Drosophila melanogaster: one gene and its partners. The protein of the gene in region 3 interacts with the protein of the main gene of each other region in a pairwise test. Each region holds a gene or a part of one and is shown on either strand. Other genes may lie near its edges.

Region 1 (7,457 bases), 7.0 Mb from region 3:
AATTTTTCGCACATCTCCCCCATTATGCAAGCAGTTATTGTATTTCCACAGGAATTATGAAATACTTGGAGGCGCCACCGCTCGGACCACGCGGAATATTTACAATTACCATTGCTAATGCCGGTCCATTAAATGAACGGAGTCGCTTAGGGAATTACCAGTAATGTTCAATCGTTTACAGAGAAAAACTTGAAAATTGCCACAAGTCAATTAAGAAAACAAACAAGCGGAAAGGAGGGAAACCGATTTACGTTTGGGAAATCAACTTGGTTTGGGTGTTAAGGAAAACCCGAACCCAAAAAGGTTTATAATGATACATTTTTTAGTTCCATAACTATTCTCGTTTTAATATTATTTACATGTATTTTTTAAACATCGAAAAAGTTTCAGAACGTTACATTATTACTTGTAGAACAAAGATGTACGTTTCCTTTACCATAATAACCAGTTTCACAATGAAGCTAAACGGCATACAAATCAGTGGAATAATCCCCTGAGTTCGAGAGTTAAGTCCTAGCAAACTTTTAGGCGAAGCCAGTAAGAGTTAAGACTTTGGTTTGGTGATGCCAGCACGTCAAGAGAGACTTGACTGCAATACCAGCAAAAACAGGTGAGTATTTTCCTAGTCAATGCTGTGGGAGAAATTTGAATATCCCCCTATGAAAGTCTCTGATAACTTAGCACCCCAAGACCTTTGGCGAACTCAAGAACACCCCAATTCCCCTGACAAAACTGAGTAGACAGGCGAGAAGATAAAGTTTCGAGAAGTTTAGACTCCTCCCAAGTTATTCGATCATTCGAGGCCAATTTTAAGGATTTTTGGCATTGGAATTACGGTTTAGCCTGTGCGGTTGTCGCCGAAAACTTTGGTAATTTTACAAAAGTTTGTTTTCTTTTATTGCCAGGTCGCGGGCAATGGCCGACAGCTAATAAATTTCCTATTGCAAAGCGCAGCGACAGAAAAGAAATTGTATTAATAAACACTTTCACCGCCAATACTTGAAATTCACTGCCAGTTGCCTGCAGTTGTTTACAAATAGTTAGCAACAAAAAATAAAAGACGTACGAGGCGGCGGCCTGGCCTTTTGGCCATTTTGAGCCTTGGGTTTTGTCGGCTTTGGCCATTTATATGCCGAATGGCGATGCCAGGCCACGGCCATAAATTGCAGCCGCGGGGCGTGCTCCCAGCTGGAACTGGAATCCATGCTCTCATCCACACACCTAATTTGTTTGGGGCGTACGTGTTGCACTGCGTGTGCGAAAAAAAAAAAAAAAAAACAAAAAAGCAGGTCGCAACATTCATTAGATTTTCCCGAGATGCCGAGATGTGAGCCAGTTTCTGGAGCGACATTGGATATACATATGTGTTTATATATAACTGACCGAGACCGAGGAAGAGGCTTCTGCTGCGCTTTACGCCTGGCTGACTGGCTGACTAGCTGGCTCAAGTGAAATCCGGCGATCTTGCTCCGTGATTTTGTGTGTCGCCCATGCAATTGATATTGCTGGCCTAGTTCGCCTTAGCCGGTGAAAGAGTGAAAGCAATTCGCTGCGTATGAGCGATATTCGATTGAAACAGTAAGACAGCAATACACATGTTCGGAATAAATGCGGCATTTCTTTTATTGTTTTGTGTGGGGGAGGGCTTGGCCAGGGGGGCTTTTTCTGCGCCTAGCGGCAGTTCAGAGTTAGGCAGTTTAGTTTAATAGTTTGGTTAAGAGTTCAGTTGAGTTAAGTTAAGTTAAGCGTAGAGTTTTAAATAATAAAGCTCTGAGTATTAATACGACAGTGGCAGTCATTTTTAAGAATAGATTAAACGACGCCAGGTGTTCCCCTCTGGCGGCAGTCCCTAGCTGCTGATTCCTTAGACCTATTTGTGTGGGTTCGGGATTTACCTTTCCTTCTATTTCTCTTGATGGCGCCTTAAGTGTGTAAGCCTGGCATGAACTATGCTATACAAATAAATTAAATAAATAGATAAATTAGACGGCCCTCCGAGTATTGCACTGATTACGGTTGCCTCAGCATTCAGCATTCAGAATATTTGGCATGCAGCTTATTGCTTATACGCCGCATAGGCCAGCTGCTGGGCCTGGGAGTCATCAGATGGCAGCGAGCGGCCGTAGCTGTGCTCGTGCTCGTAGTGCGGGTGCGCAACGACCTCGTAGTTCTCCTTCTTCGACTCGAGCAGTTTCTTCAGCCCAATGATGCCGGAGAGCAGCAGGGCGATCTTGCCGATGACCAGGGCCTTGAAGGAGATCAGGGCCAGGAAGCCAATGGCCAGGGGCAGCAGGGCGGCCATCTTCAGCTTGAAGAGCATTAGCAGGGGCATCAGGTACTTCTTCTTCTCCTTCTTCTTGCCGCGAGCTGCAGGGGGAGAAACGATTTGGTAGTTAGTTATATGATTTGCATTACTTTCGCTGGAGCGGAGCTGTCCGCTCATTAGCAACTGGAGCACAGATAATTAGCAAGCGAACAGGATCGACCGCTTTCTATGTGGCTGCGCATAGAAATTGGAAATCGGAAATTGCAGCCGCTGCGCACAAAAAGAAAGTAAGCCTTGCTAACTGCCTGACTAAAGTGCAATTAATAGCCAACTATCTGGATAACCAGCTGCCAATGCACCGCTATGTGGCCATGTGGCCATGTGCCTATGTGGGCATCTGGCTGCATCACAGGATGACCTCGATATGGCGGAGACTTAACAGTGAAAACAGGATTTGTGCCAGAGCCATCTGCCCGAACTGGTCGCTTGCATTAGTAACCCAAATAGGCAATGTCTTGGCCAGACCAGAACTGTAATTTATGTGGGATTCGATGGGTACTAGCCAGATACTCACATTCCTCGAGGGCGCGCTGCATGTCCTGGATGGAGTCTTTGGGCACCTTGAACTGCAGCGTGTGGGTGCCGAAGAAGCGGGCAACGCGCTCCACCAGCAGGGAGTCCACCTCGGCCTCCCGGGCCTCAACCTCCTCGGGCAGTTGCATCTCGTTGAGGGATCGACCCACCGGGATCTCATCGGTCTTGACCAGGGCAATGCCCTCGGTGAGCCGCACATCCCCGTTCTCGGCATCGAAGTAGTGCAGGGCTCGCTCCTTTGGGTGGATCATGAATTAGGATAGGTTTCTCTCGGGCTACTGGCAACTAAATGCTTTACCTTCATGCACAAGACCATGGACCGTTCGCCACAGTCCTTGACCATCTTCAAAGCGCTGGTCAGCAAGCTGTCCGCTTCCGAGGTAGCCGCCGCCGTGGAGGCAATCAGCGCAAAAAGGCACACGAACTTGAACATGGCTCGTGATGGGTATTTCCTTTTTTGTATTATTTTTTTTTTGAATGCTTCGCACAAACACTCGACACTGCTGCGCTGATTTGATATCCTGCCACTTCCTGGCGATTCGGGGATGCGTGTGTGTGTGTTCACTTGATTGAGTGCACTGCGCTCGATTGGCGTGTTCGATCTGTCGGTCAGAAGGCAACCGGTAAACTGTGGCTAGAAGACGCACGCGGATCGAGTTTTATTCCCGGCCAGCAGAGCGGCGGCAGCGTTGGCCAGCAGCGACGACAACGACAACGTTGACGCTTTAGCGCTCCGCAAGTGGTCTGAGCCCCCCGACTGCCCCGCTTGGCCCATCGCACACAGTAGCCGAGCTTAGAATTTAAATAAACAACCCGACCACGAACCTGGCCAGGTTGCAGCCGAAGTCGCACTCGGAGTCGCACAGTCTTGGTGGCCGGCCATACAAGGCGCTGCAGCGACAACTGGACAGGTGCGCCGAAGTGGACGCGGTGGCGCGGTCGCCGTTTACGCTGGCAGAGTTCGTCGGATTGGCAGTTGTTGTTTGTCAACACACTTCGGCGGCAGTTAGCTGTTTGCCTGCCACAAGGAGAAGGCCAATTGTTCAGGGGGCCAATAGACAGATCGGCCAGCCCTTAAATATTGATTTTTCTTGCATTACGTGTCGCTTTAAGGGAAAGCTTTGTGAATTAAATTTATAAGAATAAAATTTGGAATTATAAGAATCTTAATCCTATGTGGTAATGCTTAGAACAATACTTTTCGTAAACAAGGGTGCAACTGTACCTTACCTGGATTAAGTCAGCCAGCTTTTCAAAATACATTTTAAAAGGAGCGATTTTTCTTTGCAGGTCACTGCAGAGTTAGAATACGGCATATGCTATTATAACTGGCAGCTTAAATTCAATTTAATTAACCCTTCCAACTGGGATCAGCTTAGCTAAAAGGCTCAAAATAAACAGAATTTTCCATTACATATTTACTTTTATGTTGTGTTTTTGCACACAATACGTTTGCAACACCTTTGAAATCATGTGAGGTTTCTAACTCACTGCAAAAGGGAGAATACGCTCTTGAAAGCCGCTTGTTTCCCAACTAGACGCTTGCCTGTATTTCCACTTTTTACAAATCTTTTGCATATTTATTTGGTTGAAGGACTGTGAGTTGTTATTTAGTTCTGGACTATTTGATTACACAGCAGACCCAGGTAAAATGTAACAAGCTGTAATACGTGGCTAACGTATTTGATGCACCTTTGAGGCGCCACCTGATGATGGCACACTTTCAGCACTGTGTAAATCTCGAGTGCAGCAGAAAGTGCCGGCAGCAGCGGTTTCATTTCAAATTGCAGTTGCCTACACACAGACCGCACACACACACACACGAGTGGTAGTCCGGCGGGAGTGGGCGGTGGGTGGTTAATCAAGAGCGCCATTTAAGATGGCCGGCGATGGTCGAAAGCAACCGCAACTCGAATTGGAGTAAAATAGAAAATTAACTAGTTTGCTGGCGCTGCCGCGGCACGGTGGAGGAAATTTCACTTTAATTTTGCTTTTTATTTATGTGTTTGTTTGTGCCCCCAGCGGGCATCTCGCATAATGTATCTGCACTTTTGTATGCCAATCCGATCGCCGTCGACGGATGCACAGCGACTGTCGCACTAGAGTTTCATTGGCATTATGTCGCTTTAATTTGCAGCACTCAAAAATTGCCACACGTCTGCCTGCCGCCCCATCGCTCCGCCGTCCATCGTCCATCGTCCATCGTCCAGCGTCCATCGCTCATCGTTAGCCGGTAATTCACGCATTAGACGAGCAAGTGCCCCGAAAGAAAGCTACGCCGCAAATTTGCATGCTGCCGAAAACAACCTCACAGACACAAAACACACAGCTCGCATCTAGATGCAAAGCCACTCGACATTTCGCAGACGATTATCCAAAGCGGCAACATGAGCCCAAAATCCGTTGATGGAATATGTAAATGCCGTGCACGTGAACATATGGATGGATGTGGATGTAGATTTGGATTTGGATATGCCAGCCACTGTCACGATGTGTGATGTGTCTCATCTAATGCCCTTTCTGCAATGGCCCTTTTCAAATTCAGTCCATCCTTTAGATTTATCTATAATGATAATAATAACGTGATATAATATGCATAAATATGCTTCTAAATATTTATCTTTACATGAAAAATCTTTGATAGAAAACCTTTAATATATATTTTTTTTATATTTCATAAGCTTCGGACTGAAAACAACCATTTAATAGTTTATTTCTTACATTATTACACACAAGCTAATTGGAGAAATATGGAAAAAATTGTTTATTCTGTCTTTCACACTTAATATTTATAATATACATAAAAATTATCAAAATATTTAACCCAGTGAAGTACGTCTTTTGTGTCCCAGTTAGAGTGTTAAAGAGTCAATATGATGCAAGTTATTAGCATTGTGCGTGCGCAACGAAAGTGAAAAAGTAATTTAATTGCTAACATCTTATACAACTTCAACTGCGCCACTTTAAACATTGAGTGATGCAATATAGAAACAACATTAAAATTTAAGTTATGGTTTTATTGAGGAGAAAAGCTCTTAAATACTCTTAAAACGTATTAGTAATTGCAGTTTATTTCATATTAATACAACTAGTTGTATTAATATTTCAGTTTAGCCCAGTCATTTCAATAGAGTGCGCTCAATTAATTCGCAAGCTATCTTCTGATGGCTCCTTCGTTCATAGTTGGCCATTTCGCTGGCTGACCCAAATAAGCATGCGAAATATTCGCTCTAGAGATAAAACCGCCTTAAAGCATCGCACATTCAAAGCAAACAATCCTCAATTGCGGCCCCACCCGCTTAGCCGCCCCAAACCTTTTCAGTGGCATCTCCAAAATTGACACCTTTTCAAAGTTTCACTTTCATTCCGCTTGGCTGGAATGGAATTCCGGGTTAAGGCAGCTCCGTTCAGCCCAGCTCAGCTCCGGCTCTAGTTTGCAGCCCGGCGCTGTTTACATGCCTCTGCCTCTGGTGCGCTTGGGTAATTTTCAATTAATGAAAGTCCCCCCATGACGTCAGTGGTGCGCCAGCAAAGGGCGCCCACAACTAACAAACTGAATAAGTGAGCGAGGGGCTTGGGAACGTCGTTGGCCAGGTTCAATGTTCTACACTGAGCGGCAGCAGCTCATTAATATTTCGTGTAGTGGCCCAAAAGTGAAATTGTCGCATACCAAAAAAGGTAGCCACAACAATGGACAGGGAGGGAAAACATATGAGCCAAGAAGCCAGGAAAGTGGCGCGCAATTTTCTATCTATGAATATTGCATTCAGCAAATGCAGGCCAACAGAAAACAGAAAACTGCATGTGCAGTTTAAGTCAACTTTGCATTGTGGAATTTACAGGGAAATTATTTGAAGGAATCCAAGTGGAAAACTACGTATTCAAATATGTTAATCATCTTTCACCAATGTTAGCAAACAAAACATATTTGTCCAATAATAGAGAAGCGAAGAATAGTGTCTAAAGAAAATTGTTATAAGTCTTTAAAAGTACATTTATTTATTAATATTTACTTAGTTAATTTCTTTTTAGGTATACTTACATATAAAATCCAATCGAAAATCAACTGCTGTTGCAACCTTATATCGTACATCTGACATTGAGTTTGGTAGAAAGCGAAGCAGCTTCGTCAGCCATTTTTGGCACGCACGTAAGCCCGTTTCAATGAAACTTAATTGTCATCATAAATTCATGTTTGGGGAGCGGCCACGAAACCATAAAAAACTCATCTTCATGCGAATTTCGGGTAGCAGAATTTACTATATTTAATTAGGGCTTACTTAAACCTAACACACACATTTAGTTCGTTAAATTAAGGATCGATAAGGCGAATTAAACTAGACATTAGTCAGACAGTTCTTGCGGCGCTCGATTCTTTGGTTCACTCTCCACGATAATCTCCCGAGAATCTCCCTTCTAGGAGATACTTCTGTTTCCAAATGCAAATGCGAGCTCACAGGCTCTTGGCGCTGCCCGCCGACTCCTTGGCCGCCGGCTTCCAGCCGCTGTAGGCGGTGTCCAGCTCCCGACCCCAGCCGGAATGTCCTCCTGAGGAGACGACCACCTCGTGGGAGGACTCCTTCCCGCCGCCGCCTCC
Region 2 (7,463 bases), on a different chromosome or scaffold from region 3:
GGAGTTCGACAAGGCCACGGGTGCCACCACCACGTACAAGGTGATCGAGGGTGGCTACGAGGTGATCACCACCTCTCCGCAGCCCAATGGAACCATCAAGACCCAGGTGCGAACCTTCTGGGATCCCAAGCCCGTTAGCGAGGAGGATCTGAAGAAGGAGCAGGAGAACAAGAAGCTGGTCCAGAAGCGTCTGGGCAAGGAGATTCGCATCGATGAGCGCACCACCATGCTGACCCGCGCCATCGAGGGTGGCTACGAGGAGGTGTACACCACCATCAACGAGGATGGAACTCGCAGCTCTCGCACCAAAACCTTCTACGACTCCGTTCCAACCGAGGTGGATGAGAAGACGGCCGCCAAGTTGAACAAGAACAAGAAGAACGTGACCAGGAAGTCGTCGGTGGACTCTACCGATTCCACGGAATCCTCCCGTCGCATCGTCCAGAAGCAGCAGAAGAATCTGGTGCAGAACTATGATGAGCAGACCAACTCCACCACGACATCAGAGCGCAGGGTGTCGGTGACTCAGAACATCGAGATCACCGAGAACAATCGCACCGTGCGCAAGAACTCGCTGCAGGAGCAGAACGTCAAGGCTATCACTACCACCTCGAACACCTCGTCCAGCGACAAGAAGCAGAAGAAGAAGCCCAAGTCATCGGCTCCACCACCACCCGCTGATTTCTTCCAGAACGATACCACCTCTGTGGCCTCGAAGCGTGTGCCCGGCGGTGTGGAGTACACCTATTCCACGCAGCTGGATTCTGGCAAGACCATCACCACCTCGAAGACTGTCTACGAGGAGGAGGAGGTGGAACTCACCGAGGAGGAGATCCGCCAGTACAAGAAGACCCTGAAGGACGCCGAGAAGCACAAGAACGTCTCCACCACCAAGAAGCTCAAGTCCGAGTCGGGTACCAAGAAGATCGTTCCTTCCGAAAATCCCGGAGATGTGACCACCGTGGAGACCATTAAGATCGAAGGTGGCACCGAGTACCACTACACCACCGTGACATCCGAAGGCATCGTGAAGAAGGCCGTGAAGACCGTTTACGATCCAGTGCCCAGCCAGAAGTCCAATCCCGATGACACCGACGAGGAGGAGATTATCGAGGAGTACGAGGAGGAGATCATCGAGCCCGGCGAGAAGAACGTCAAGACTATCGAGACCGTCAAGCAGCTGCCCAGCAAGTTCGAGGGTGAGGATAAGCCAGTCCACTTCATCCGCAGCTAGGTTATATTAACCCATTTTCTTTTTTTTCGCAGAGGAAGTGACCATCACTCATGAGAGGAAGGAGAAGAAGGTAAAGAAGTCCATGGTCATTAGCCAGTAGAGATCGCCGCTTGCCCACACCGAAACACACTCAAACACACACGACACTCACACAACACACAAGGCACAAGAATACACACGAAAAAAAAAACAAGCTTATGAAATGGCCGGAAAATAGAGAAGAAAGGCCCTGCGAAGATCCCGATCCCAAGCTAATTCTCCTGACCTATTTCAGCATCCAGTTCAGTTAGTTGCTGGCGGTCTTTGCACGCTACTCGTTAGCTTTGTTATCAATTACCAGCTGTCTAGTGCCCTAGAAATGTATTACGAAATTATCCAAAATTTATTACAAGAAACTATCTAACATAATTGTAGCCTCTTTTGTTAACAACAAAATAAAACTCAAGTTTTGGTTCTAATTCTTCTTGGTCTTCTTCTTCGTCGGAGTGCTCTTCGGCTTGGAGCTCCTGCGGCAGATCAGGATTAGAACTACGATTGGCAACAGGATCACAGCGAGACCTAGACCCACAATGTCCAGTAGGTAGAACTGGTACCAGGGTAGATGTACACCAGCGGCCACCAGATGAGGAGCACCTCGGTGCTCGATCACATAGTTGATCCAATATATGGCCGTATCCATGGCACCGAGTGGTCGATCGCGGAATATCCGGGAGGCCTTCTTAATGTTATTCCTATACTTTGGATTCTCAATCAGTTCCATCAGCAGACCTCGCAACTCCTCCACCGTGACTTTCCGGTAATCCAGTCCCAGTGCATATTCTGCACTCTTACCCTGGTTAATGTTCTGATGCTGATCACAGTAGACTGGCATTCCCAATATGGGAACACCATTGTACACCGCCTCCTGGGTGCCGAAGAGTCCTCCATGGGCAATGAAAACCTTGACATTCGGGTGCGCCAGAATGTCGCCCTGAGGTAACCAACTTTGCACCTTAACGTTAGCCGGCAAATTGGGCAGAGATTCATCTTCGAATTTCCAGAGAACGCGTTGCTTCAGACTGCCAAAGACTTCCAGGAATACTTTGAGCTTCTCAGGCGGCAAGTCGGCACTTCTCACCTGGGAACCTATGCGAAAAATAGATGAAGTCATTAGTGTTTTTAGATTTAAAGTCGCAGGGTTAAGGACACTCACCCAAGCTAAAGTAAATGGCACCATGTGTGGCTCCGTCCAGGAATTTTTGTAGATGCTCCGGTAGTGCCTTCGGTGGTTGAATGTGCAAACCGCCCACTGGGATCATATTATATGCCATCGGTCTCGAAGATGCCAGTGGCATGTAGCTGTTCAACAGAATGGCTGAGATATTACGTTCGAGTTCTTTGATGGTCGGTACTCTGTCGAGTAGCTTGGAGAAGTGCTTCTTTAAGACCGCATCCTGACCGGGGTAGTAGGAGAACTCTCTGACGAGATCCTCGGCTGCACTCATGGCCACATTGCCGATGCGTTCCCACAAAGTCATGCGATCCGTATAGGGCATATAAGCGTGTGGTACATATGACCAAGGAGACACTACCCCAAATAGCTGACTAAGGTGGTTGGCATTACCAAATGTCGAAATAGTTATGGTTGGGATCTGGTACAAGTGTCCCAGGATGAGGGCACCCTCGTTGAAGAACTGCTCCGCCAGCAGCAGATCGTATTTGCCAATTTTGTTCTTCTCATTGATTACTGCCTGAATCTCCGGTTGTTCCAGTGCGAAATCCGTGGTGTGGATACCCATCACATTGACCATTCGCAGGAATGCAAAAGTTGGCAAATCTGTCATTTCCAAAACGGTGTTCTTATTGGTCATCTCCTTAACTATGTGCAAGTGATTAAGTTAATACATGTTTTATCAATTAGCAACCATACTCACTTTCTGGCCAAAAATCGTATTGAGGAATCACAATTTCCTTATAATTTGATCCAAGTTTTTCCTTGGCCAAGGAAAACGGAGTAATAAAAGTAACCTCATGTCCTTGCTTCACCAGCTCCCGTATGATGGCATTGGTCATCATGAAGTGACTCTTGCCAGGAAAAAAGAATGCTGCCAAGATGCGGGAACCGGTACCCAACTCTAGTTGCTGAAGAGCAACCAGACTTAGGAGAAATATGTGCAGAGCACTTTTCAAAGACTGTAAAATGCAAAATATTTATAATCATTATCTAAATTGAAGCTTAAATGCAGCATGAAACAGTCCTTCATTTGAACTCAAATAGTATTCGGCGATAACAGGTAACTTTAGTTTAAGTTTCGGAACTTGCGTCTATTACGATTTCAAAGCTTTTCCTTTAATTTAATTTATACATAAACGAGAGCTTCAAAAGCTTATTTACAACATATCAACATACCATTTTGATTAAACGACACTAGTAGCAACCAGCAACCGACTCAGTGGACCGCTCTCGAACGACTGCGAATGCGTTCAGATAGATCGTTTCGTTTGGGCCTCTCTGTAGATCGGCTTTATATGTTTATATACATATAATGTTTATGTATATGTTTATGTACGCTTTTAGAACCCTAGAGAATAGCAAATGTGAGGTTCGTGCGAAAAAAACGAGAGAGCTCTTTATTATCAAAACGGGGCACTTCATCAGCGTGCTCTACAAAATATCCCTTATCATCATGGAAACGTTAGATTTCTTGCGGATAATAGAAAGTTATTCTTTCTTAAGGTCGTATTCGTTGTTTTGGGTAATCTATTTGCTGGTTGTCTAGGTACGTAAGTTTTCAAACTATCTTTATCCATATCATTAGCAAGAGAGACAATCCTCGACTATCAGATAATATCGTTTTTTCTACCTGTTAGATACTTTTCAACGAAACTAGTAAATCGTTTGACTTTTCGATGCGAAATAGAAGATATAGACAGAAACATATACTAATATATTAAGATTTTATTGAAGATATTGTATTTCTCAAACATTTTTAAAGTAATTTGTTTAAATAAACCCTTAAAATACTTTAATTTTGCTTAGCTTTCCTGTGTTTCTTATTACTGCCCATCAGTAATCGAATGGCCAATGAGAGAGCCATGACGCCAGCTAAAGCAATGATAGCCACAAATGCTATGACATCCAGCAAATAGAATTGGAACCAGTTGAGATCCAGGCCTGCGGATCTCATATGTGAAGCACCTCGATGCCGGATGACATATTCGATCCAATAGACGGCACTTTTTCGCGGCTCCAGCGGACGATCGCGGAAAATATCCGATACCCTCTGAACGTTCTCTTTGTAGGTCACATTATGGATAAGTTGGTCCAAGGAGTGCCGCAGGATTTCCTCGGTAATCGATTGGAAGTGCAGACTAATGGCATATCCGCCCAAAACCGCTTTGTTCATATTAAGGTGCTGCAACATAATATATTCCTATAGAAGCAGTTATTTATATAATTAGTGAAATATACAAATACCTGATCACAGTAGAAGGGTATACCCAGCATGGGCACAGCATAATGCACTCCCTCCTGGGTGCCAAATAAGCCACCGTGGGTAATGAATACCTTCACATGACGATGGGCCAGAATGTCGGCCTGTGGCAGCCACTTCCTGACCATCACGTTATCTGGCAATTGGCTAATGCTCTCATCCTCGAATTTCCACAATACCCGCTGCTTGAGCGAACCGAATACCTGCAGGAACAATCGCAGCATTTCCACGGGCATGTCCTTGCTCTGGACATTGCTGCCCAGGCTGAAGAAGATGGCCCCCTCGGTGGCGCCATCCAAGAGGGCTTGCATGTCAGCCGGCAGCGGTTTGGGTGGATAGATGTGCATCCCGCCCACTGGCACCATGGCGTCCACTGTGGGACGTGCCGTGGTCAGCGGTGCGTGACTGTTTAGTAGCATCACTGAGATTTGACGCTCCATGTGCTTGACCTTGGGCACCTCGGCTGGAAAACACTGTACTCAGGTGTATGTTCTCAGATAAACCATTACCGTAACTCACTCAGTACGGGTCCAAAGAACTCCCTGGCCACCGCATCCATTTTCGGAAAATAGTTTAGCAGCCTGTCCATGTCTTCGTAGAAGGATGCATAGGAGTTCTTCACCCTCTCCAGGAAACTCATGCGATCGGTGAAGGGCATAAAACCGTGTGGTACAAAGGACCAAGGTGTAATCAGACCCATCATCTGACTCATGTGATTCTCATAGCCCAAAGTGCTCGTGGTCACCACGGGTATTTTGTACAGATGAGCCAGTGCCAAGAAGGCCTCCTGATAGAACTGCTCGGCCAGGAGAAGATCGAAGACTCCTTCCTTTTGCTCGGCATGAATGAGAGACCGAACCTTGGGCTGCCGCAGGGCATGTTCGGTGGTCTTGAGGCCGATAATCTCCAGCATTTTGAGGAAATCATAGTTGGTCATGCGGGTCAGCTCGAATAGGTGTTGGGCTCCAAAGTTCAGCTTAACTGGTTCCAAACGTAAATATGATGATCATTAAATCAAGCTCCACTCACCATCGTGCCAGAAATCGTAGACCGGTTCTATCAAGATCTCCGTGTAGTTGCTGCCAAGTTGCTCTTTCTCCAGACTAAAAGCTGTTACCATGGTCACCTGATGACCACTTTCGACAAGTTCCCTTATCAAAGCAGTGTGCATCATAAAATGTGATTTTCCTAAAATATTTTCCACAACATAAGCCATAAGTTGGCTTTGTACATATCTTAAAATACTTTACCCGGAAAGGCATACACAGCCAGGATTTTTGATCCTTCGGCCAATTCCAACTGGGAATATAATGTTCCAGTCAGAAGGAGGCCAAATAATAATGGAAACTGCATACTGAGCAGCTATACTATAATTCTTATTTTTTGCCAAATATTGATTTTGTTTTTGTTTAATACTGGCTTGACTTCTTTTGTTTGTCCGTAATAATCTGTTAATAGATTTTGTAAGTTTGAGATTCTGAAGTTTGTAGCTTAATATCAAAAGATAGATTAAAGGTGCGCAAAGTTCTTGTTTTGTAAACAAGTTTGACTTTATTACAGAAACAAAATTATCAAATGAATAAATGAAAATAAAAAATGCTGGTCATCAGCAGCTAATCTATGTTCCATAAAGATTTCAAGCATTTGTGAAATACAAATTGTTTACTTTTAATAGGGTTGCTGATATAAAGAGTCAATTTAATTGATGATCGCGTGCTCGAAAAGCTTTCCACTTGCCTACCGATGAGATGGCGAAGGCGAAGCCAACTATTGAACCTCCGAATGAATACTGAACTCGAGCTCGGGGTTCCGAGAAAACCCAATATATTTCCGAGTAGTATAATAAAAGTCAAAAGCACGTAGCAATTTAAGCTTTCTTAATCGTTTTATTTTCATCTTTCAAACGTATTTGCATGTCAATGTGTGTGTTGTTTGGTCCTTAAATGCTAGGTATTAAGCAATCGGTATATTATATGTAATTAGATTAAGTTAAATTATAACATTTAGCCTATAATGCGATTACTTGTCAACGAATCTCCACGCCTAATGTAATTTACATTTTCATATTCGATACAAATTGTTTAAATTATTCTCGTCTTTATACAAAAATCACATTCGATTCGTTATGTATTCTGCTTGTGTATGTGTGTGTGTGTGTGTGTGCGTTTGCGAGTTTTGTTATAAGTGTTAAAATGTTGCCTTTCGATTAGCGTGAACTTTGTTCGAGTTCAATTAAAGTTTAAGTACTAACTTGATATATGCAATTAACAAACTTCAGCTCCTTCAGCTATCCGTTGATGAAACACACACACACAGAGTGTGTGTGTGTGTGCGGCCTTTGAGAAATTTTAAATTTTAAATTTCTAATTTTCAATTTTCCATTTTCCTGGCTGCAAATTGCAATCAGAACTTTTTCTGCAGCGACTTGAAGGTGAAGTTTTTGTGGCGAGCGGGCGGCTGATATGAGTTATTAGTCTAGGCCTTAAAGCTAAGGAGCTTAAGTGAAATTCAATTTGCTGTTGTACGTATGCAGGGGGTGGTGGGCGGCGATATGCTCGTGGGTAGTATGTGGTGGTATGTGGCTGATATGCGGCTGATATGTGTGTTTTGCTGTGCTGAACTTTGTGCGAAAGCCTGGCTAATTGAGGGCAGTCGTCGGGATAAATGACTCAAGCGGAAGCTGCAGTCGGTTCCATTCCATATGGATGAGCATATGGTGAGCCTCGTTTTGCTCCTCCCTCCATCCGCCTCCTCTC
Region 3 (10,185 bases):
ATTTGCAGTGGTGGTGGTCGTGGAAGTGCTGGTAGAGGTGGAGGACGTGGACGTGGTGTCCACCGTCAATGCGTCGATCTTATCGAGGGCATCCTGCAGATCGTTCTCCAGGTCCGCATTCTGAACGGCCAGCACAATCGTGGCCACACAAAAAGCAGTAGAGGCCAGGCCCAAAAAGATGGCCACTGACTTAACCGTCAGCCCTAAAATGAGTTCACATTAGTTACTGTTCCTTCGGGATATGCTACTCTATATAGAAGACTCACAGGCAACCATTTTTAGGGATATTCTTTTTTCGATGAAAATTACTCGACTGCTTCCACTAGGCTGGAAGCCAAATTGGAAACTGAATGCAAGTTGCGAATCTGACCCCACAATTTGGACTTGATAAACCTGATCAGATTGCTGACCGATATCTAGACTATATACTATATAGCTTCGTGTCCAGATAAAATCGTTTTATGCTAGACCATTACTTTTACGATTCGAACAAGGCCATATATCGACTATTATGACTGGACACTCTAATTACTCAGGATAATTACGCATGGTCATGATTCCGCATTGACCATATACTCAAAGACCCTATCTCCAATTATTTCCTAGAAGCTATAGAAATCCCCACTTGCCTCGGATAAAATGAATGAAAATATGGGGGTTGTATTTATGGTTTGATTTTGAAATTTCATTTTATTGAACTCGAACGGAATTTTCGCTTATGCAACTCTAATTATTGGCTAAATGGCCAGTTTATATACAATATACAATTTTACAATTGGTTTTTCTTGGTCAGCGGCGAGGCCGTTCCACTTAGCCAGTCGGTGATGTCAGCTTCGTTTCTGGATAGCCATTCGATGTTGTACTTGATGGTTTCCACGGCCTCCAACCGGGAGTTAGCTCCAGCTCCCGATTCGGGGTACTTGGAGAAGAAGTGCTGAACCTCCTCCAGTTTCACGGAGCTGGCAAAGTTGGCCGTAATCTGGGCGATAAGTCGTCCAAAGTTGCGGTTGTTCAGGCCAAAACGGGTGGTGAGTTGGGGCCACTGTTCGCGGTAGAATTCCCAGACCACCGGTTCACCCACAGGATTGGCGGCTATGTACTGCACACAGGTGAAATAGTCCTGGGAGCGAACGATGCTCTCATCACTGGAGGCCTGTGCCAGGAAGTCGAACAGATACTGGCTGTTCCGTACGCCAGACAATCCGTACATCAGCTTCAGTTTCTCGCTGGCATCGGTTTCGGCCACAAAGAGTTGGAACAACTGATCCCAGCTCGATTGGCTGGTGGACTGCTGCATGCCGTAGTAGTAGACAATCTCGCGAAGATCGGGGGAAGGTCGAGTGGTCGGATTCTCCAGGAAGGTGCTGAAGCGCTCGGAAGCCTGCTGCAGACAATCTGGAACACCCAGGGCACAGGCGGCGGTCAAAATGGAAACACGCAGGCGGCTGCAAAGGAATAAAGATTGTTTGAATAACAGTAGTTTGAGTAATGTTTTCAGAAAAACAAGTTGGTACTTATATACGTACTTCTTCAAGTGATTGTCGGCGTCCACAGTCCAACCCACCTCCTCGTATACGCCAGCGATCAGACTTCTGGCATAGGTGAGGTACGACACGTATCCCTCGCTGAACATGAGACTGCGATGGAGCGACCTCAGCTTATTGGAGGCCACATACCAGGGCACGAAGTCGCGCTCCTGGGCCAAGTAAGCGGTCATATCCAGAGGAATTTTGTAGGATAGTTGGTTGGCATCCGCCAGGGCGAAGGCATCGTTCAAAAGATGGCCACGATCGGCGATTTCGAATCGAGCGGGACTGGTGGTTAGCTGCTGGATGAGCAGGGCCCACAGGCTCTCCTCGTAGTTAACCCGATAGTAGCCCGTTTGGTTGACATTCAACTTGATCCACTGCACCTCGCTGGGCACGGCAATACCCACAGAGTCCACATCGTAGTCGTATATGAAGCTGTTCTCTGAACCATCATCAGCAAACCAGGTAATCGGAACACTCCATTTGTATCCGTATGCGCTATCTGAAGGGGCTTCCTCGTAACTGGCTGGATTGGAGAGGAATCGCTGCTGGGTAACCTTAAAACTACCATCTGCAACCTTGGAGACATTCAACACCGGATAACCCATCTGTTCGGTCCAGGTGAGCATCAGTTTCTTGATATCCAAGTCAGTTACCACAGCTTCGACTTCGGTGAGGAAATCGTCGGTCACCGTGTTATTGAACTGATGCTTGACCAGGTAATTGGTCACCGCCTCCTCAAACTTTTCGGCGCCCACAAGTGTCTCCAGCATGCGGATCACGGATCCTCCCTTTTCGTAACTGATGGTGTCGAATATGGCCGTAATTTCATCGGGGCTTTCTACCTTCTGGACAATCGGATGGGATGATAGCTTGGCATCGTATAACAACACGGGTTGCAGGGCCACGATTTGGAATTGCTCCAGCTGATTGGTAAATATAAGATATTTTCTTTGAGGATTCAAATCGGTATTATCCATTTCCTTACCATTCCCCAGTCCGGGTGCACAGCATTGACTCCCTTGTACTGCATGTAGCGGGCGAATCCCTCGTTCAGCCACAGATCGTTCCACCACTTCATGGTGACCAGGTTTCCGAACCACTGGTGTGCAATCTCATGGGCCAGTGTTCCGGCTATCGATTGTTTGTTCGCTGTGGAACTGTAACTGGGATCGTACAGCAGAGCGGTCTCTCTGTAAGTCACCAATCCCCAGTGCTCCATGGCCCCAGATGCAAAGTCGGGAATGGCGGCCATGTCCAGTTTGGTCAGCGGATAGGGCACCTTATAGTACTGAATATAGTACTCCGTGACAGCTTGTCCGAACTCCAGAGCAAACTCGACCTTGTTGATCTGATGCGAGGTGGCATAGGCTTGCATGGAGAAGTCCTCGCCAATTCCGTTGGCCTTCACCGTGGTCGATTGGGAAGCGAAGTCGGACACAATGATGCATACCAGGTAGGTGCTCATCGACACACTCGTCTCGAAGATGGCCTCAGTATAGTCACCCAGATAATTGGATTCCTATTATTTAAATTTTGTTTAACCCATTTAAATTGTTTGTTTACTTGAGCTCACCGTTTGTTGCATGTTGGAAACGGCGTGGTAGGATCCCGATGGATGAACCACTGTAATGGCGAATGTGGCCTTCATGGCTGGTTCATCGAAGCATGGGAAGGCCTGACGCGCGTAAGTGGGTTCGAATTTCGTCGTAGAAATGGTTCTGCATAAGGAAAATATTAATTTATATATTGAAAAAGTATTCAAATAAAAATTCAAAACAAAACAACAAATCCAGATCTGGTCATAAGAACACATTGCATACTTTTGGGCATAACGTAAAAATATCCGAAATACCTGGTAGCTCCTGCCTCGTTTAGATATGTACTGCTGTAGAGACCCACAAGCTTATCCTTCATCTGTCCACCAAAAATGATTCCGAGAGTAATGCTGGCGTCCACCGCCAGCTCTTCCGTCAAAGTTATGATCAGGAACTGACGTTCCTCCTCAAGCTCAAACTTTTCCACCTCTCTATTCAGCACATAGACACTTGTGATATCCAGGAGATATGAGTGCAGAATAATCTGATTAGTGGCCTCCACCACCTTGATGCTGATCCTCTGTTGTCCGGTGAAGTTTCCTGTCTCCAGATCCGGATGCCAGTAGAGCTCGTAGTGCGTGGGCACCAGATTCGTGGGCAGGCGGTAATCCGTCTTCAGGGTTAGATTATGGTAGTAAATGGATTCAACTGATTAGCAAGTGATTACACACCGTATCTTCACGCTTCATGCGAGTGCGGCTCTCTCCGCTCCACTCCTCGAACACATCGATCTTGTCCTGCACATCGCGGAGGTCCCTTTCCAGCTGAGCCTTCTGCACCGCCACCACAACCGTGGCCGTGGCAAAGGCCACCACCGCCCAGGAGAGCACCACCTGCAACCAATAGCCACTGAGGAACATCTTAGCAATCGCACCTGTCGCGAGCGACTAACTAGCGTTAGGTCATTCGAACCAACTCTTACCACTTGTTGCCCAATATTCGATTAGTTGATAGTGTGTGCACTGGAAATGGTTTATGTTCGCTTCGGCGATTGCGATAGTGATTGGCCAAATTGACGCGATTACGGTCAAATGGGCGATAGGGTTAAAGCCAGAGAAAGTGGGAAAATACGGAGCGGTAGGGTATGAATTCGCGTGGCTTATGACACCATAATTGTGCTATGGGTTTAATAACATCATTTAAGCCACTTTTACTCTTTCCCTAACGCAAATCTGTGCTATTGGTAATTAGCCATATTAATTAGATTCTCTCCACATCACTGAGAAAAATAGAAAAAAGATTTTTATTTTACATATTCATTGCTTAATAGAACTATTAAAGATTAAAAGTCTGCGTATATTGCTCAATTTGGTAAATATTTTAGTTTTAAATGACTTTAGATAATTTAAAAGGCGTAACAATAAAACTATAAAATTATATTTCAATCAATTAATGGGGGTTTATCATATATGAAGTAAATTTCCATTGGATGTCAAATTTAGTGCGAAAATTTGGACGTGCAATAAATGTCAATCAAAAGTTTTCGTGTCCAATAGTGGCACCCACCCAAACTTGATTATCAACCCATGTTACCAATCAGTCCAATGGATAATTGCTTATTTATGGAGGTGTAATTTCAGTTTTTCCAATAACTAAGCTTATCTTTATTTCCACTTGTTCGGCAAATTTTTGCTTTATAATGGCAATTAGATGAGTACATGTTTAATGGTAACCATGGTCGCAAGACCACTTCCTTGGACTTTTTACAGTGGCTGCTTGTCCAGCCAGGCGTCCACACCCTCCAGGTTCTCGGCCAGCCAAACAATGTTGTTCTTAACCGTTTCCAGAGCTCTCACCCGGGCAGCTGTGCCGGCTCCAGCTTCCGGATATTTGGCGAAGAATTGCTCCATCTCCTCCAGCTTGGTTTGGGTGCTAAAGCGGGCAGTGATCGAGGGAATCAGGTTGCCCAAATAACGCTCGTTGAGTCCGAATCGGTCCACCAGTCGCTGCCAGTTCTCCCGGACATAGTCCCAAACCAGGGACTCACCAACTGGATTCGCAGAGATGTAGGTAAGGCAGGTGAAGTAGTCCTGACCCCTCACGTATTCCTCGTTCCACGCCAGGTCAATGTAGCGCTGCAAAATCCAGGGAATCTGGATGGCAGACAGGCCATACATCAGTTTGGACTTCTCGCTGGCATCGGATTCGTTGACGAACAGCTCCCAGACTGCATCCCAATCCTCCTGGCTTCCAACGGACTGTATTCCGTAGTAGTAGACAGTTTCACGGACATCGGCCTTTGGACGATCCTCCGGCTTGGCCAGCCATGCGTTGAACTGCTCTCCGGCTTCAGTGAGACAGGATTCCAGACCCAGAGAACAGGCGGCACTCAAAGCAGTGACACGAAGGCGGCTAGAGATGCAGGGGAATGATATAAAAAATACACACATCTCTTAAAGAATCTACCCACTTATCCAAATGATCCTCGCCGACTGTCCAGGTGAGTGCGGTATAGATGGGCTCAATCAAAGCTGTGGCGTACTTCTTGTACTTGGCATAGGTGCTGGTGTAGTAGAGTGTTCTCTTAAGCGAAGTCAGACGGGAAGCAGCCACACTCCAGGGAACATAATCGGTCTCCTTGTCCAAGTATCTGGTCAACTCGAAGGCCGTTGCATAGGGCAACTGAGTGGAATCGGCCAGGGCAAAAGCATCGTTGAGGAGATGAGCGCGATCCACAGAGCCGAATGCACTTGGTTGTACCACCAACTGATCGGCCAGATCATTCCACAGATCGGTATCGTAATTAACGCGATAATAGCCCACCTGATCGGCGTTAAACTTAATCCACTCGACGGCAGCGGGAACAGTTACAGTGACTGTCAAACAAAATATATAACAAGTTAGAGATCAAAGATCTGGGGAGCCGTGCTCCAGCATACAGACGACACCACTTACTTTCGCTCTGGTCATGATAAAACCACAGACGCTGCACCACCGAATCCGAGCTGGTGAAATATGTGATGGGGATCGACCAACGGTAGCTATATAATGTATGTGCGAAATTCGCGATCAGATAGCGTCCAGGCAATAAGTTCTGCACACTCACTTGAATTCCGAGGGCTCGTGATCGGCGTCATAGTCGTTTGGATTGGACAAGAAGCGCTTCTGCGTCAATTTGTATTCCGTATCGGACACCTTTTCGATCGTGACCACTGGCAGACCCATCTGCAAAAAAGGAATGGGGTGTTGAAATATTCGCGAACTTAGAAGTAAACGTCTATGTGTTTACCTGCACCGTCCATGTTAGCATAATCTCTGTGACATTGTATCCCAATTCCAGTTTGTCGATCTCTGTAAAGAAGTTACCCGTTTCCGCCGTGGAGTACTTGTACTCATTTAAATAATTGGTAACCGCCTGGCGGAAGGTTGTCTCCCCCAGGAAATCCTCCAGCATTCGGACGAGAGAGGAACCCTTGGAGTACGTGATGGTATCGAAAATCTCCGTGATCTGGTCCGGATTTTCCACGGTCTGGATTATCGGGTGGGATCCGAGGGTTCCGTCCAAGGTGAGTACGCTGTGCAAAGTGCTCACCGTGAATTGATCGCGCTATTGATATGATATGTAAATAAGTTGGATGTAACCTTAATTAACCTAGGTGCACTTGCCATTTTCCATTCTGGATAGACGGCATCTACGCCCAAGTACTCAACGAAACTAGCAAATCCTTCGTTTAGCCACAGATCGTTCCACCAGTTCATGGTTACTTATGGAAGATAATTGGAGTTACGGTTAAGAATACGAATTCCGATCTATGCAAACCGCCATTTAGCTTACCCAAGTTTCCAAACCACATGTGAGCGAATTCGTGGGCAATTACGCTGGCGATGCGCTGCTTGTTGGTGGCGGAACTCGTGGCTTCGTCGTACAAAAGCGATGTTTCCCTGTAGGTGACCAATCCCCAGTGCTCCATGGCGCCCGAGACGAAGTCGGGAATAGCAGCCATATCGAGTTTGGGCAGCGGATAAGCGATTTGGAAGTAGTCAATGTAGTACTCGATGACTCCCTTGCCAATGGTCACAGCCAGATCCACTTTGTCGAGTTGCTCCGGAGTGGCGTAGACACTCATGGAGAAGGTTTCTCCAATGCCCTTAGTGTCAATGCTCACCTGCTTGTAGGCGAAGTCGGAGACAATAAAGCAGGCCAAGTAAGTGCTCATGGGAACACTTTTTGCAAACGTGACCTCCTGGAAGGCTCCCTGGCTGACACTCGAGTCCACGTTCATGTTGGACAGGGCATGGTAATCCTCCCCAGAAGGATGCACTAGAGTAATGGTGAACTCGGCCTTCAATGCTGGCTCATCAAAGCAGGGAAAAGCCTGGCGAGCGTAGGTGGGTTCGAACTTGGAGGTGGCGATCCACTTGCGGGTCTCATCCTCCTTCACATACGACGAACTGTACAGTCCCACAATCTTGTTGGCCATCGATCCTTCGAATCCAATGTGCAGCCTTACTGTCCTACCTTTTGTCAGTGGTTCGTTCAGCTGGAATATTAAAAATTCCCTCACAGCATCTACTGTTGTCTCCAGGATCTCCAAAGTATCACTGCCAGTATTCATTATGGATACACTCGAAATGTTTAGGTTGAGGGAGTGCAGGACGATCTGGTCGGTGGCCTCTTCAACTGTAATAGTAATCGTCTCCTGTCCACTGAATTCACCAGTTTCGATGTTGGGAAACAGATAGAGATCATAGTGGGTGGGCTTCAGAGTTCCGGGCAGTCGGTAGTCGATTTTTTCGGGGGATGCAGTAGTGCCGGGTTCACTTGTTGAAGCAGTGGAACCAGGTGTCACAGTGCTTCCTGGAGAAGCTGTGCTTCCGGGCTCAGCTGTGCTTCCGGGTTCAGCTGTGCTTCCCGGCTCAGCTGTGCTTCCTGGAGAAGCTGTGCTTCCAGGATTCGCAGTACTCGCTGTTGTCGGAGCAGCTGTGCTCGTATATCCCGCTTCCAGGAGATCCAACTTCTCCTGGGCATCGCGCAAATCACTCTTAAGATTCGCCTTCTGGACGGCCAGGACAATGGTCGATACGGTGAAGGCCGTGAGCGCGAGGCCCAGCCCAATGGCCACCAACTTCGCGGTGACAATCATAGCACGTTAATCCGGCACGAGCGGAGTCCAAAGCGCAACTAAGCGTTCTCCTTGGTAAAATAGCGACAGGTTATGTAGTGGGGGAATCTCAAGTGGGCCCCTATATCTTAATTGACTGACTGCGTTTGCAGATTGCTAATCTAATCGCGAGTCGATGAGCTGCTTTTTGGGTATTAGCCGGAACATATGTAGGGAACGAGTGCCGGTGCGGCTGACAATCGCCCGAATTTATGGACCCTGTCATGGCGCTTTGATTAAACTTAGAAATGCCAAAGATCTGGCGCGTTTTTCCTCGTCAAGTCGGAATTCCAAGCTGGTTGCTGAGCCCCGAGGAACTTCCAGTGTCAAGGCCCATATGTGTGATTGTACTCAGGCTCACGAACACCAATTGAGCAATTTTTTTACTACCTGCGATCCTACGTGATCCCGCTATCCTTCTCTGTTTCTGTTTTACCCGGCGCTTAGGTCCTAAAAAACCCTTTTCCGGTGCTACGCAGACAGGACTTTCGACCTAATTAGAGAATCGGTATTTTCATTGTGTTAAAACCCAAACATCGAAATTTCCGCACACGTTTTCGCAACGCCTGGAACTGAAGTACTTTATAATGACTTTGGCTTTGTGAGATGTGTTCTGTAAAGGGGAAGTTTCCCATAAAAAATATTATAGATGTATTTACAACACAAGTATGGCCACTTGATGATTATAAGCCCTTTGTATCGCATTTTTGATGGTCAATAATCAGATGTTTAACTTTTACTAATTGCATTATCTTTGAAGTGACAACAAGCCATTATTTTAAAGAGATTATATTCATGGTCAAATGAAACTGAATATAAGTGTTTACCTTTTATTTTCGAGTACTATAATTAAATGCTGTAGCTAATATTGCTTAACTCTTATCATTTCTGAGGTATTGTTTTTAGGCATGCACAAATTTTCATCTGAAAAAAATCCCAAAAAAATCCGTTACCAATATCTGGATATCTGTTCCTAATGGTGCTTAACACCATAATCCTGGGTATTAACTTTTAAATAATATAGCAACAATACTGGCAGTTCCCGCCGGCTCACCACAAAGGACAATTAATTTCCCAGATTATACGTGTATATACTGTTGGTCATATGTTTTGTTATATAATTGGCTTGACCAGTCCAAAACCCAAACAAACCCGTCCCCGTATCGGGCATTGATGTTGTGCAGTGTGAGTCCGGGAAAATCCGGCCGTATTGAATGGACTCGACTGGGCTTCATTCATGAGCACGTCGGGTGCCGTTTACGGCTCTACCTGCCTAAGCGTGGGAAACTTGCTCGCAGCAAGGCGGATCCTTCACCTCCGCCGGCGCAGGACGAGAGCAGGTAGTCAACCAGGAAACTGGGCTGCTCCGCAATTGCGTCTCGGGCTGCCAGTGGGTTTTTGTACCCGTCCATTGCCGGGAGTTCCTACCCCCTGCCCATGCAAAATTTCCAAGTGGAAAACGGCAAATTTCCGGTTTTTTGAGCAGGCCCGAAATTCCCACGGGCCGGCCCCAGGAGGGCGCCCTGGCTTGGGATTTGCAGGCTATATAAGTGTGCTGACCCGGTTCATCATCATTCAGTCGATCTAACGACATCGCAGAGATAGCACCATAACAACAATATAAACAGACAACATGATTTTTGCCATCACATTCTTCATGGGTATTACGAGCACTCTGGCAGCAGTTTTGGAGCCCATGAGCTACTACCAGTACACCCAGTTCCAGGCACCACTCTCCTGGGAGGATATAACCGGCAAGGGGCTGAAACAGGCCCTCGACAGCTGCCAACAGAGTTTCCAGTGGCAGCGATGGAACTGTCCGAGCCAGGATTTCGTGCAGAAGAATTCCAAGCCGGAGGAAAACTCACCAAATCGGGAGGATGTCTATGTGGCGGCCATTTCCATGGCAGCCATAGTCCATACTCTGACCAAGGACTGTGCCAATGGAGTAATCGC

The links.
Region 1: the proteins of CG8773 (region 3) and Osi9 interact in a two-hybrid assay, tested with the Drosophila melanogaster proteins (one large-scale study listed by BioGRID).
Region 2: the proteins of CG8773 (region 3) and Ugt49B1 interact in a two-hybrid assay, tested with the Drosophila melanogaster proteins (one large-scale study listed by BioGRID).

What each region holds. Positions count from the first base shown.
Region 1 is NT_033777.3:6,256,249-6,263,705, reverse strand, and holds Osi9 (osiris 9), read right to left. Parts: upstream 3,496-7,457; 5' UTR 3,294-3,495; coding exon 3,159-3,293; intron 3,097-3,158; coding exon 2,841-3,096; intron 2,368-2,840; coding exon 2,057-2,367; 3' UTR 1,601-2,056; downstream 1-1,600. Other genes in the region: Osi8 (osiris 8), read right to left, coding at 7,314-7,457.
Region 2 is NT_033778.4:21,211,280-21,218,742, forward strand, and holds Ugt49B1 (UDP-glycosyltransferase family 49 member B1), read right to left. Parts: upstream 3,694-7,463; 5' UTR 3,627-3,693; coding exon 3,624-3,626; intron 3,407-3,623; coding exon 3,148-3,406; intron 3,093-3,147; coding exon 2,427-3,092; intron 2,360-2,426; coding exon 1,689-2,359; 3' UTR 1,601-1,688; downstream 1-1,600. Other genes in the region: CG44245 (uncharacterized protein), read left to right, coding at 1-1,199, 1,267-1,334; Ugt49C1 (UDP-glycosyltransferase family 49 member C1), read right to left, coding at 4,240-4,629, 4,692-5,170, 5,227-5,688, 5,737-5,895, 5,958-6,060.
Region 3 is NT_033777.3:13,292,816-13,303,000, reverse strand, and holds CG8773 (uncharacterized protein), read right to left. Parts: upstream 8,254-10,185; 5' UTR 8,212-8,253; coding exon 6,903-8,211; intron 6,832-6,902; coding exon 6,734-6,831; intron 6,675-6,733; coding exon 6,357-6,674; intron 6,293-6,356; coding exon 6,174-6,292; intron 6,109-6,173; coding exon 6,023-6,108; intron 5,944-6,022; coding exon 5,538-5,943; intron 5,480-5,537; coding exon 4,831-5,479; 3' UTR 4,713-4,830; downstream 1-4,712. Other genes in the region: CG8774 (uncharacterized protein), read right to left, coding at 770-1,445, 1,527-2,455, 2,518-3,051, 3,106-3,250, 3,385-3,740, 3,799-3,987; wntD (wnt inhibitor of dorsal), read left to right, coding at 9,863-10,185.